Linked DNA regions of Rhinolophus ferrumequinum. The protein of the gene in region 3 interacts with the protein of the main gene of each other region in a pairwise test. Links are inferred from orthologs where the notes say so. Each region holds a gene or a part of one and is shown on either strand. Other genes may lie near its edges. The genes, in order: BRMS1, TXLNB and NMI.

The links.
Region 1: the proteins of NMI (region 3) and BRMS1 interact in binary tests that used the Homo sapiens proteins (3 or more experiments, as listed by UniProt). The link is inferred for Rhinolophus ferrumequinum from reciprocal best matches to the Homo sapiens genes NMI and BRMS1.
Region 2: the proteins of NMI (region 3) and TXLNB interact in binary tests that used the Homo sapiens proteins (3 or more experiments, as listed by UniProt). The two-hybrid records come from large-scale screens. The link is inferred for Rhinolophus ferrumequinum from reciprocal best matches to the Homo sapiens genes NMI and TXLNB.

The regions. Positions count from the first base shown.
Region 1 is NC_046294.1:5,589,804-5,593,553, forward strand, and holds the start of BRMS1 (breast cancer metastasis-suppressor 1), read left to right. Parts: upstream 1-801; 5' UTR 802-951; intron 952-3,476; exon of another isoform or gene 3,477-3,492; 5' UTR 3,493-3,499; coding exon 3,500-3,638; intron 3,639-3,732; coding exon 3,733-3,750. UniProt on the Homo sapiens protein: Transcriptional repressor. Down-regulates transcription activation by NF-kappa-B by promoting the deacetylation of RELA at 'Lys-310'. Promotes HDAC1 binding to promoter regions.
Region 2 is NC_046286.1:84,910,568-84,914,317, reverse strand, and holds the start of TXLNB (beta-taxilin), read left to right. Parts: upstream 1-1,540; 5' UTR 1,541-1,670; intron 1,671-3,750. UniProt on the Homo sapiens protein: Promotes motor nerve regeneration. May be involved in intracellular vesicle traffic.
Region 3 is NC_046291.1:69,058,882-69,062,631, forward strand, and holds the start of NMI (N-myc-interactor), read left to right. Parts: upstream 1-813; 5' UTR 814-856; intron 857-930; 5' UTR 931-1,121; intron 1,122-1,499; 5' UTR 1,500-1,592; exon of another isoform or gene 1,593-1,608; intron 1,609-3,750. UniProt on the Homo sapiens protein: Acts as a signaling pathway regulator involved in innate immune system response.

The DNA.
Region 1 (3,750 bases), on a different chromosome or scaffold from region 3:
TGGGGTGCTGGGATCAAGTCCTAGCTTTACCACTAACTAGCTGTGTGGCCTTGAGCAAATCCCGTTCCCTCTCTGAGCCTCAATTACCCCGTCTGTGAAAAGGGAGGTGAGAATACCTACCTCTCAGAACTGTTGGGAGGCTCAGATGAGATGCTATATGTGAAAACATTCTGTAAGCTTCGTACAAATGTGAAGTATTAATATTATTACAGTATTATTGTTGTTATTGTTGTTATTATTAACAATCTTGGGTGGGTAGGCAGTAGGAGAGCAAAAAGTATGAATGGGACAGAGCTGAGAAGTCTGAGTACTTAACAAAATGGGCTTTTTGGAAAGAAATCAGAGAAGAAAAGGCGTTGAGTTTAGTTCTTAGCTTTTGTACAGAAGCCTAAACTTACTGGTTCTCCCAGGCCTCTGCCCTCGGGGCCTCTGGAGAAGGAAAGGGTCTGCAGGTTCTGTACCCTCCAATAGGCTGGGCTGGGTTATTTGCCTACCAATGACAATGTGTAAATAAATAAATGAGTGTTCACACCTACAGCTGGCTCCGTTACTCTCCTGAACCGAGCAGGCGGAGGGGTCGCGGGTTCAACCCTTTCACGCCGGGGGAGGGTGGGGGGAGGTGACCACGGACAGAGGAGCACCGGCGGCAAAGCAAGAAAACCACAAGGGTCTTTTTCCGGAGGGCTGACTGCGCCAGTGTGAACTTCGGCTAGTTGCTATGGAGACCGGTCCGCGGTATCCCAGCATTCCTCGTCCCCAGCTGTCCAATTGTGTGAGCTTCCCAAAGGGCGCCCCCTGATGACGCATACGGAAGCACCGATAGGCCCCACCTCCCAGTAAAGAGAGACCGGCACCGCGCTTCCGGGAGCCGGACGGCGGGGGTGAGCACCGGTCGCCGCGGACACCTGTTGGGAAATCTCTGACGTGAGGCCGGAGGCTCCAATCCGTGCGGTGCGTAACGCCACCTGTGACGCCTGGTTCGGCCTCCGGCGGGTGGATCGGAGCCCACCCCATCTCCAGGGCCGAAGCGGAGACTTAACCTGCCGGGAGCGTGCAGGGCCGCGGGCCCCAAACCCCCTGCGGAAGAGCTAGAGATTCTCCTACCCGCGCGGACGCATACGGGGATGGAGCGGGCGGGAGGCTCCGGGCGCGCCGCGGAGGGGCTGGGTTGGCCTCTTCGAGGGTGGGGAAGAATCTGCCTTCCGTGGAGGCCAGCCTTCGAGATGCTCACTTTCTGAAAAGATAAACTGCATGTGTACAGCGCCTTAAAATTTGCGTCTCCATCCCTTACCCCTTGCAGTCTTAATAACATTCAGAGTAGCAATGGCCATTCTCTGTTTGGCCTGGGGTAAGGAGGGGAGGTTGTGATTTTATTGAGCTCATTCAGTAGAATCAGGCAGCTGGAGTGACTCCCGTCCCCTCTCCCCCGCCCTTTCTGGTCCCGATTACGTTGCATCTTAGAAAGTAAATATCTTTAACAGTGAAGAGGAATTGCAAAATTTGGAAACTGTGGGAACTGAGGCTTGTGAGTGGGAAAGATGCGGCTGGTTTGGAGAACCGAAGGTTTCAGGTTAGGTTCATATTATTTGTGAAGTCATTGAGGAATGTGACTAAACTATGCTCTAGTCCAGTTATTTTGCACAACTCGAACTGGTGTCAAGGAAGGTGAACAGAACACTTTGGGTTTGCTACCACCGAAGGGGCCTGGGGCTACCAAGAAGTAAAAGCCAATGCCTGCCTCACAAAAGTTTGTTTTGTTTAATTTGTATTTGCGAATCCCCCATCGCCATCGCTTGCGTCGGTACTGCGCTAGGTGAATAAGGCGCATGTGCAGCCCTGCCCCGTGAGGCTTAGGGACTAGCTGAGGACACAGACATGAGAACGGGCAAATAGAGAGGAGATGTAAACAAATAAGGCTTCCTGGAGGGAGGGGTTCTATTCCAATGTAAAGGACTACATAGAAGTACCCAGAGAGGTTGCAAAAACATCACAATGAAATAGAATCCCCAGTAGACAGGTTATCTGTTGAGAGGACTATTGAGTCTTCTCAGGAGATCTCTTGGCAGCATTTGGCACTGTCACCTCTCTTTCCTTATGAAAGTCTCTCTCCCCATGAATCGAGTTGTTCCTCCTCTACCTCTTGCTAATTTCCTTCTCCTTTGCAGGGGTCTCATCTGCCCCTTTGGTGACCCGGGGAGTTCCATCATGGATGTCTTCTCATTCCACACTTTCTGCCTTGCTGGTTGCTCCTTCTCTCAGGGCCTGAAGAACTTGCTACATGCCCTTGACCAGATCTCTGCAGCCCAGACTTGTCTCTCAAGCTTAGACCCATGTGCCCCCAACCTTGCCCCTTCTTTCATTTGGGGGTTTTTGCACATGCTGCTCCCTCTATTTGGAATGTTCCCTCCCTTGACCAGCTCAGCCCATCCGTGTGCCCATCTTCCTCTGCAAGTCAGCTGCAGCAACTCCAGGCCCCAGTTAGATTCCTCTCCCATAAGCCCGCTCTCAACTCTTCTCACACCACACTAATGGTCTGCTTCTTTGCCTTTTTCTCCCAGGAACTTGTAAACCACTTGAGGTCAGAGACCGTGTATGTCTGTCTCGCCACTGTGACCAGCACCTACCATTGTGTCTGATGGTACCTAGCATAATTAGAATTCCAATGACGTGAGATGAGTGAAGAAAGGAAGCAATATTTAACAGTGTTCAGGGTTGCTGAGATGTCAGCTGTGATAAGCACTGAAAAATACTGGCTTCAGGCACAGGGAGGTCGTCGGTTTATTCTATAGGATTAGTTTTGGCTGAGAGTGATGATACAGAAACAAATGGGAACAAGCGGGAGGTGACAGTAGGAAGAACAAGTGTACACAGGCCTGGAAAAGTGTAGCTGTGAGGTGGAAACGGGGAGCAGTTCAATGGAATCGGGTGAGGTTTTGTGTTTCTGTTGTTCCTGAATGGTGGAACATACCTGAGCATGTCTAAGAGGGGAGCACCGCTGATAGGAGATCGCAGAGGAAGCAGAAGGAGATGGGACTGGACTCAGAGAAGACAAGAGGTTGTAGAGTGTTCTCAGGATGAGAAGTGGAGGGCATTATAGGCAGAGGGAATAGCATGAGGGGCCTGGGGGCAAGTGCCTGGTGTATTCGAGAATTGGCCAGTAGACGGCAAGGTGAAGGAGCTGGCCCAGTCAGAAGTCTGGGCCCAGGCGCATAGGCAGGGGGAGCCCACCCTTGGCCTTTCCCACCTTATGGATCATCACCTTGGCCAATATTCCCAGGATTGGGATCATCCCCAGGGTCCCAGGGCACGAGCATTTCCGTGGCTTCTGGGAGCTGTGCAGACGGCCACGTGCACCCTCCGCACCCACTGTGTGCTCGGGGTGTGGCAAATCCAGTTCCTTCCCCCGCTGTCCAAGGCTTGGTGTGACTCCTAGTGACCACTTTCCTGCTTGGAGCTGTGGGCAGAGGTGAGTGATGGCTCCACTCCTTCCAGGGTCCAGATGCCGATCCAGCCTCCCAGCAAAGACACAGAAGAGATGGAAGCAGAGGGTGATTCAGCTGCCGAGATGAATGGGGAGGAAGAAGAGAGTGAGGAGGAGCGGAGCGGCAGCCAGACGGAGTCCGAGGAGGAGAGCTCAGGTGAGCCCCCCCCACCCGCAATGCGCACGCATACGCGCGCACACACCGGTGCCCTCCCACTCCCCCGCTGGCCCTGACTGGCCTCTTATCCCAGAGATGGACGAGGAGGACT
Region 2 (3,750 bases), on a different chromosome or scaffold from region 3:
GTACTTTTTCTCTCACCCATTTTACATCACCAACTTTATTATCAAATGAGACAGGACACAGCTTTGTCTTCGTCACTGGAATTCCTTTATCTTGACCTCTCCATGTTGGGTGTACTCATCTATATATAACTTATGCCTCCCCTGAACACAGAGAAAGTGGTAGGGAAAAGTTGGGGGGTAGAATATTTTAGTTTTCCCTCCCTATGCTAACAATTTACCATAAATTTAGTGGCTTAAAAACAATGTAAATTTATTACAGTGCTGGAAGTCAGAAATCAAAAATGAGTTCAGAGCTAAGCCCAGGTATCAACAGAATTATATTGCTTCTGGGGGGTCTAGAGAATAATTTGTTTCCTGCTTTTCCCAGCTTCTAAACACTTCTCTCACCCCGTGGTTTGTGGCCTCGCATTACTCTGACCTCTGCTGAGTCATCAAATCTCATTTTATCACTCTGACTGCCCCTCCCCCCACCCTCTTTCATTTATAAGGACCTTTGAGATTACATTGGGCCCATCCAGATAATTCTGGATCATCTCCCCATCTCAAAAATCCCTAACTTAATCACATCTGCAAAGTCCCCATTCACTGGATAAAGTAAGTAATACATGCACAGGTTCCTGGGGTTGGGATTTGGACTTCTTGGGGTGGCATTATGCTGCCTATCACAGGGGGTGTCACAATGCCCAGCCATTCTCCAGAGCAGAAACTCTGATGGAGGAAACTACTTTGGAAAAGTGTGGGAACACATTCTCCAGAAACAGACAGAAAAGGGGAACGAATGTAGGTGAAGAGAAGCATTTTATGGTGAATGAGGAGGAGGTTCTTTTTCTGAGGGATTAAGGAGCACGTTGAGGGTTTGGAAAGGATAGTGAAGACCTCGAAATGCGGCTGCAGAAGGTAGGAAAGCCACCAACTAAGAAAGAAAAGGTGAAGTGCCCAGGGGCTTATCTGAAATGCGGAGGTGGTTACCCAAGTCAGACCAGGAATCTGAGGTCACGCCAACTACCATGTGCCTGAAGATGATACTAGCCCACTGCCAAGACAGCCGTCTAAATTTCTAATTCAAAATTTATAAATAAACCAAACAATGACATCAGAATTAAAGTAGTTCTCCCACCTCCTTTTTGTTAGGCCATTGTTTTCCTTTTTCCATGATTCCTATAAGAAACCTGACACTAATTAGGTTAGCGTAAGAAGGGGAAAAAAGGACATGAATCATAGGCCACACTGGAAATTAACCAAGAAATAAGAAAAACCAATTCTCTGCCCAAAAGAACAACAATGGTGAAAAACTGTGCTAGCAAAAGGTCTACATACTGAGAGTTTCATTTTTTTTTTTTTTAAAGGAATCAAGATGGAGTCTGATCAGATCTACCAGCTGCTTCCCTTTTCTAAGACATTGACCCAGGAGACAGCTACTGAAGCTTGGGTGTTATTTCTCTCTGCTGTGTCATATGATGTTCCTTTCCCCTCCCCCACCTGCTCTCTTGCTGTGTGTGCGTGTGTGAGTGTGTGTGTGTGTGTGTGTATGTGTGTGTGTGTATTTGGTTTCTCTGTCCCCTTGTAAGAACACAGCCGCCTGCCTGTCTACTGCTGTTGCTGCTGTTCTGACTAACTTTTTGCTGCCCCTTGCCTCTCCTTTCTCTTTCTGCTTAGCTCCTTGCCTTCTGGTAAGTATGACAAACACTCCCCCAAGCCCTGTGAGAAGATGTGGGGTGCGGTTTGTGGTGTTCGAAATTTGCAACTTTAAGATTGCCAGCGAACTGTTGAAGAACTTTCCATTGTTTTATTTATAATTAAAATGTGTTGCTCAGGAAGGGATGTGTGTGTGATAATCTACTGGGACTGCCAGTACAAGTGATAAACTTTCTTTCAGAGGAGGGAAAAGGCAGCAATAAAATTTATGGAAGATAAAATTTAGAAATAATTTTTGCTGTATAATTAATCTAGAAAGAGATAATTTAAAAGTAACAGAGTTCTTTGACTTTGGGTTTTTTTTTCCTCTTGCTGATTTATCTTGAGGCTACTTTTAGGAATTGAGTTTTCCTGTGGTTCACAATGACTCAGTTATTCTGTTTTAAAGTAAACATGGAATATGAGTTTAAAGGCTGTCCGTGGGATTAATATAAAAACATCAATGATTATGGCCTCTGAGGAATGAAGAATAAAGCTATTACAAATAAAATGCTTGCATTTAAACTAACCATGCCAAAACTCCTATGGACAGTCAGTTTTTAAATTCATTGCTTTGAAGTTTGGTTTACTTTAGATTTTATTTCATCCTAAAAAGACTTTTTAACACTTTAAAACCCACATATGAATTTATGCCAGCAAATGTTTACTGTTTTCGATTTGTATTAAAAAGTACTCCATTCCCTTGATTTTCAAGGATAAAGTGCTAAATGCCATGGCTCCTTTTAGAAGAGCTTAAAATAGCTTCTGGCTGGAAGCAGGTGCCATGTGTCTTTCTCCAAGTTCAGGGGAGGCACTAGTTATATATATAGATGACTGTGCCCAAGAAGTAGGTAAGGGTCAGGATAAAGAAATTCCAGTGATGAAGACATGAAGCTGTTTACTGTATCATTTGATAATAAAGTTGGTGGATTACAATGAGTGAGGGGAAAAAAAAATACTCCCTTCTAAATTAATGTGTACTTGGTGAGGACCACAAGTGGGTGGCAGTGTTTGTACGTTGAATTTTCCATTCTTGTTGGCGGCCAAGCATTTGATATCTACTGCCCTGAGAACAGAAGGAGGAAGCTGTGCAGTGCACAGAGCAGCATGTTTGTGTTTTCGCTTTCCATACCTCCACAGCAGCAAAACCTGTGCATTATGAGGATCCTGTCATATTTTTGTCCTGCTAATCAGCACCATCACCACTAAATATCATTTACAAAGGAAATGAACCATAACGTAAAGGCCTAAGCCAAATCTCTTGCAACCCCAGGAATGAGGATAGCCAGAAATCCTGGAATCCTTGACTCAGCTCATTGCTCACTCCATATTTCCAAAGAACCCATATCACACCTGGATAATTTCCTTACTTCATTTCCTCCCTTTGCCTTAAACATGGCCATTTCTTTAAAATTATCAACTTATCCTAGAACTTCTTGACTGAGAAGAAAATGTTGTAATCTGTTTTTTTTTTTCCTAAAAGAATGCCAGTTTTTATACTGGAAAAAAGAAAATGTATTACAGAAATTCAAAGAATTATTATTATAAGCATCACCATGTTTCCATGCCAGTTTGTTTGTTAATTTATAACTTCCCTCATTCTCTGCCTTATTCCAAAAATGATGCTAGTGTACCTAAAAAAAAAAAGTGTTTTCATCATTAATAATTACATGTTGCTCATCTGGGAAAAGGAAAATACCAGAAAAAGCAAGAAAGCATTTCCTGTATCCAGCATAATAATTCATTTATATCAATGTACTCATATTAATCAAATCTTCATTTATAGATTAAAATAGAGTTTAGGGACATTATTATGAAGGATTTTAGTAAGTTAGTAGCTCTTGTATTAAATATTTTAACTTTGTAAAAATAACACCATTTAAAATTTAAATATTTTAAGTGTATACATCCATGTACTTTCAGTGATTATAAATCTACATAGGATTATAGAAGAAAATGGTAACACAAATTGGCTATTCTAAGCAAAATGACAGATAGGGCCATAAAAAACAATATCTTGAATTACTCTGCTAATGTCAACAATAGGAGATACTACTGGAATTTAAAGACCAAAAA
Region 3 (3,750 bases):
GAGTTCATGCTCTTTGAAATTCTAAGGTAGAAGAGAAGTAATTCTCAAGTTGCAACAGATGGAGTTTTTGTACTTAACTGGACTAATGAGCACAACAGTCATCATACACCACTTGATTTTTTTGTTAGAAGAGCCACTTTAGATTCCCATCAATATTACTGATATGAAGGAATTTGACTTTTATCAGTTATTTTAGACCACTGTATCGGTTACTATATATGACTATATATCGGTTACTACATAGCTCTACAAATTAGAATTTATGCCTGGAAATTAATTTGGTACATTTACTTCCTGTCCTGTATAAGCAAGTGCAGCTGTGGGGTGGTTCTTTGTGTAGGATTAAGAAACACTGCAGTTCTTGAAATAAGCCAGATGGTTTTATTTTCAAAGGAAAGGATCACACCTAGTGAAGAATTTATTTACAAGCTTCACAACAAAATAAAAGATTAAAAGAAACTTTCAAGGGACATGGGTCATAGAAACCCACTGAACACCACAGCTTCCCAACTCCTGGGCCCAGAGGACATTGCAAAAGACACAGAAAAGTTGACCTTGTGCTGGCTGTAAACATTTGTAGATTAAGGTTATAATGACCAAGACATTACAATGAGAGTTATACAATCTGAATAGACTCCCGTTTTGACTTGGTTTCAATCCACTTTTCCAACAGTAGGTCCAGTAACATACACACACACAAGACTGGTTTTGAATGCATGTCCTAAAATTAGAGTTAATGGAAACTTCAGGAATACTTTTGGGATAGATACCCTCAAAACAAAAACGAAACAACGACGTTTTAAAAATCGAAAGTGAAAACTGTAACTTGTTAGCGATTAATCATTGGAGACACCAGGTCTGGTATTCCGAGCAATGGTTGGTTTTAAAGAGAATCACCATTTGAGCTGAGTTTTCTCTTTCTTTTTTAAGGACCCAACTGTTCATCTGAGCGACACCCACTCCGGATAAGGCAGCGCCAGCCTCGGGGACCCGCACGTTCCCGCCCCGCTCCCGGGCTCCGGGCGACTCGGCGGCGCTCCTCCCGCGCGCGGCCGCACCAAGTTTCCGGGAAGATCGGGCACTTTGGGCCCCGGGGCGCGGCGCTCGGCGGGCCGAGGCGGGTGAGTGGGGCCCCGTTTCCCGGTCGCCATCCCTGCCCCTAGTTGTCGGGGCTAGAGGCCGGGGGTTCGCAGGGAGCTGGGTTCCACGGGGGCGGAAATGGCGCGCGGAAGGACGGGCTCTGCGCCCCCCGCGCCCCTGCACTGCCCGCTGCCCGGGTCGCTGCGGCGACACTGCCGGCGCGGGGGCGCGCCTGCCCCCCGGCCACTGTGCCTTCTCGAGGCCGGGCCGGCCTCTGCCCCAGTCTTCTTAGTTTGCTTTGCTTCTTTGCGGAAACGGAAACTTAAAATGGTTTGCGTTTCCCCTCTGCTCATGCAGCGTCTCTAGAGATAGTTCTTAGAAAAACCGATTCCTTAAGGGATTTTTACTCTCCTTGGCAGGTGCAGTGTTTGGCAGTCGTGCCTTACTTTGAAGAATATGCAGGGAAAGTCTTGAAAGAGATATCCAAAGGAGAAGACGGTGTTTCCCTGTCTGTACGACGCACAGAAGGTTTTAAAAAACTATAAATGTGTATCACCATTTTACTAATCACCACCTTCTTCCTTTCCCTCGTTTCCTTCTTTTTGCTGCCAGGCATGCATATGGGAAAATTCGTTTCTATCATGCTGACACCACAATAATATGAGTATATCAGAAAAATAGGTAGTAGATGGGTGGAGGTGATTTGTATTGTTTTTTGTTTTGTTTGTTTCATTCGCTGGCATAACAAATTGCCAAGGATTTAGTGGCTTAAAAACCACATTTATTATCTTAAAATTCTGTAGGTTGGAAGACCTACCTGAGTCTCGGCTAAAATCAACTTGTCTACAGGGCTGCTTTCCCTCTGGGAGGCGACTGGGGTGAAATCTGTTTTCTTGCCTCCCGGTCCTCTCCCCTCCCCGCTTCTTTAGGCTGTCCACCTTCCTTGGCTCAGTGGTGTGCTTTCTCCATCTTCAAAGCCATTAAAGATTACATCTCCCTGACCATTCTTTTGTTAGCACATCTCACTCTGACTGGGGTCTCTTGCCTTCCTCTTTCACTTTAAAGGACCTTAGTGATTCCTTGGGCCACACTGATAATCCAAGATGATCTCGGTATTTTAAAGTCAGGTGATTGGCAACCTCAATTCAATCTACAACCTTAATTCTCCTTTATAGTGTAACCTAACATATTCACAGATTCTGGGGATTAGGATGTGGACATCTTTAAAGGGGCCACCCATCTGACAGCATCAAAGGAAGGCTATTACTGTACATCCCACTCATGCAAATAGGGAAAGTATCCAGATACTAAACATGCCATAAGAAGTTTGGGGGATATTTATAGAGTTAAATATATTGAGAGTCTTTATTATAAGCTTTTACGAATATTGACTTATAAAACAAATAATGTTGCAGTTTCTGCTTTCTGGAAATGTAATAAGAGAACTTCATGTGCCTGGGATGTCCTGAGCAGAATACCTGAGTCAAGATACTGCACAATTTTATAAATTTTGGGTGTTTTCAGTGTGTAAACTTGTATTGTGCTCTGAGTGGGTATAAGGAGGAGTGGACTTGGTCTCTGGCCTCAAGGTTGTGACCTTGGAAAATAACACAGGTACATAAATAACTAAAGCTCCTTTTGGGGAGATAAAAGAAGGAGAAGTAACGTCCTTTGGGGGAATCAGAAAAGGCTTCAAGAACTTGGGGGGGAAGTTTGGGATGGATCTTGAAGAACTCTAGGATTTCATTCGATGGAAATTAAGGAAAGAGGAGAAGAAGGATGTGACATTTTGAGAGGCAGAGGGAAAAGAGCCACCCTTTGAGGGCTCGGTGTGATTAAGGGACTTAATCCAGGAATCGTCTAAATAAGACTGGAAACTAAATTGGGTTAGACCGGGTAAAACCTTGGATGAATGCTGAATGGCATCATAAGGATTCTGCAGTTGTTGGTAGAATAGAGAGCTATGTGTAAGGCATATATCTTTTTATTTTGAAACCATCTAAAACTTACAGAAAAGTTGCAAGTACAATACAAGCAACTTTTTTTCCCAGTGAATTATTTGAAAATACATTTCCAACTTCATGACCCATTGCCCTAGAATTCTTGAGCATATATTTCCTACAAGAAAGGTGTTCAAAATCAGGGATTTAATATTGGTACATTACTGCCATCTAATTCTTGGATTCAATTCAAATTTTGCCAGTTGTCCCAATCATATCCTGTATAACAAAGGACCCAGTTCAGAATCATGCCTTGCATTTAGTTGTGATCTCTTTAGTCTCCTTCTGTGTAGAACAGTTTCTCAGTCTTTTCTTGGCTTTTATGAAGTTGACACTTTTGAAGAGAATAGGCCAGTCTGTGTAATGTTTCTTCATGTTTAGATTCAGATTATGCATCTTTGGCAGGAATATCATAGAAGTCATGCTGTGTTCTTAGTGCAGCCTATCAGATGGCACATGATTTATCTCCTTATTTACTTTGATTATTTCATGATAGTGGCGTCTGCTTGGCTTCTCCACTTTAAAGTTACTTTTTTCCCCTTTGAAATTAATCAGTTTTTTTGTATTTTGAAACTAAATGGTCCTTTCCTCACCAACATTTCAATTTATTTATTTACATCAGTTATTTCACTCAGTGGATTTAATCATTGCTGTCATTATTTACTCTTAC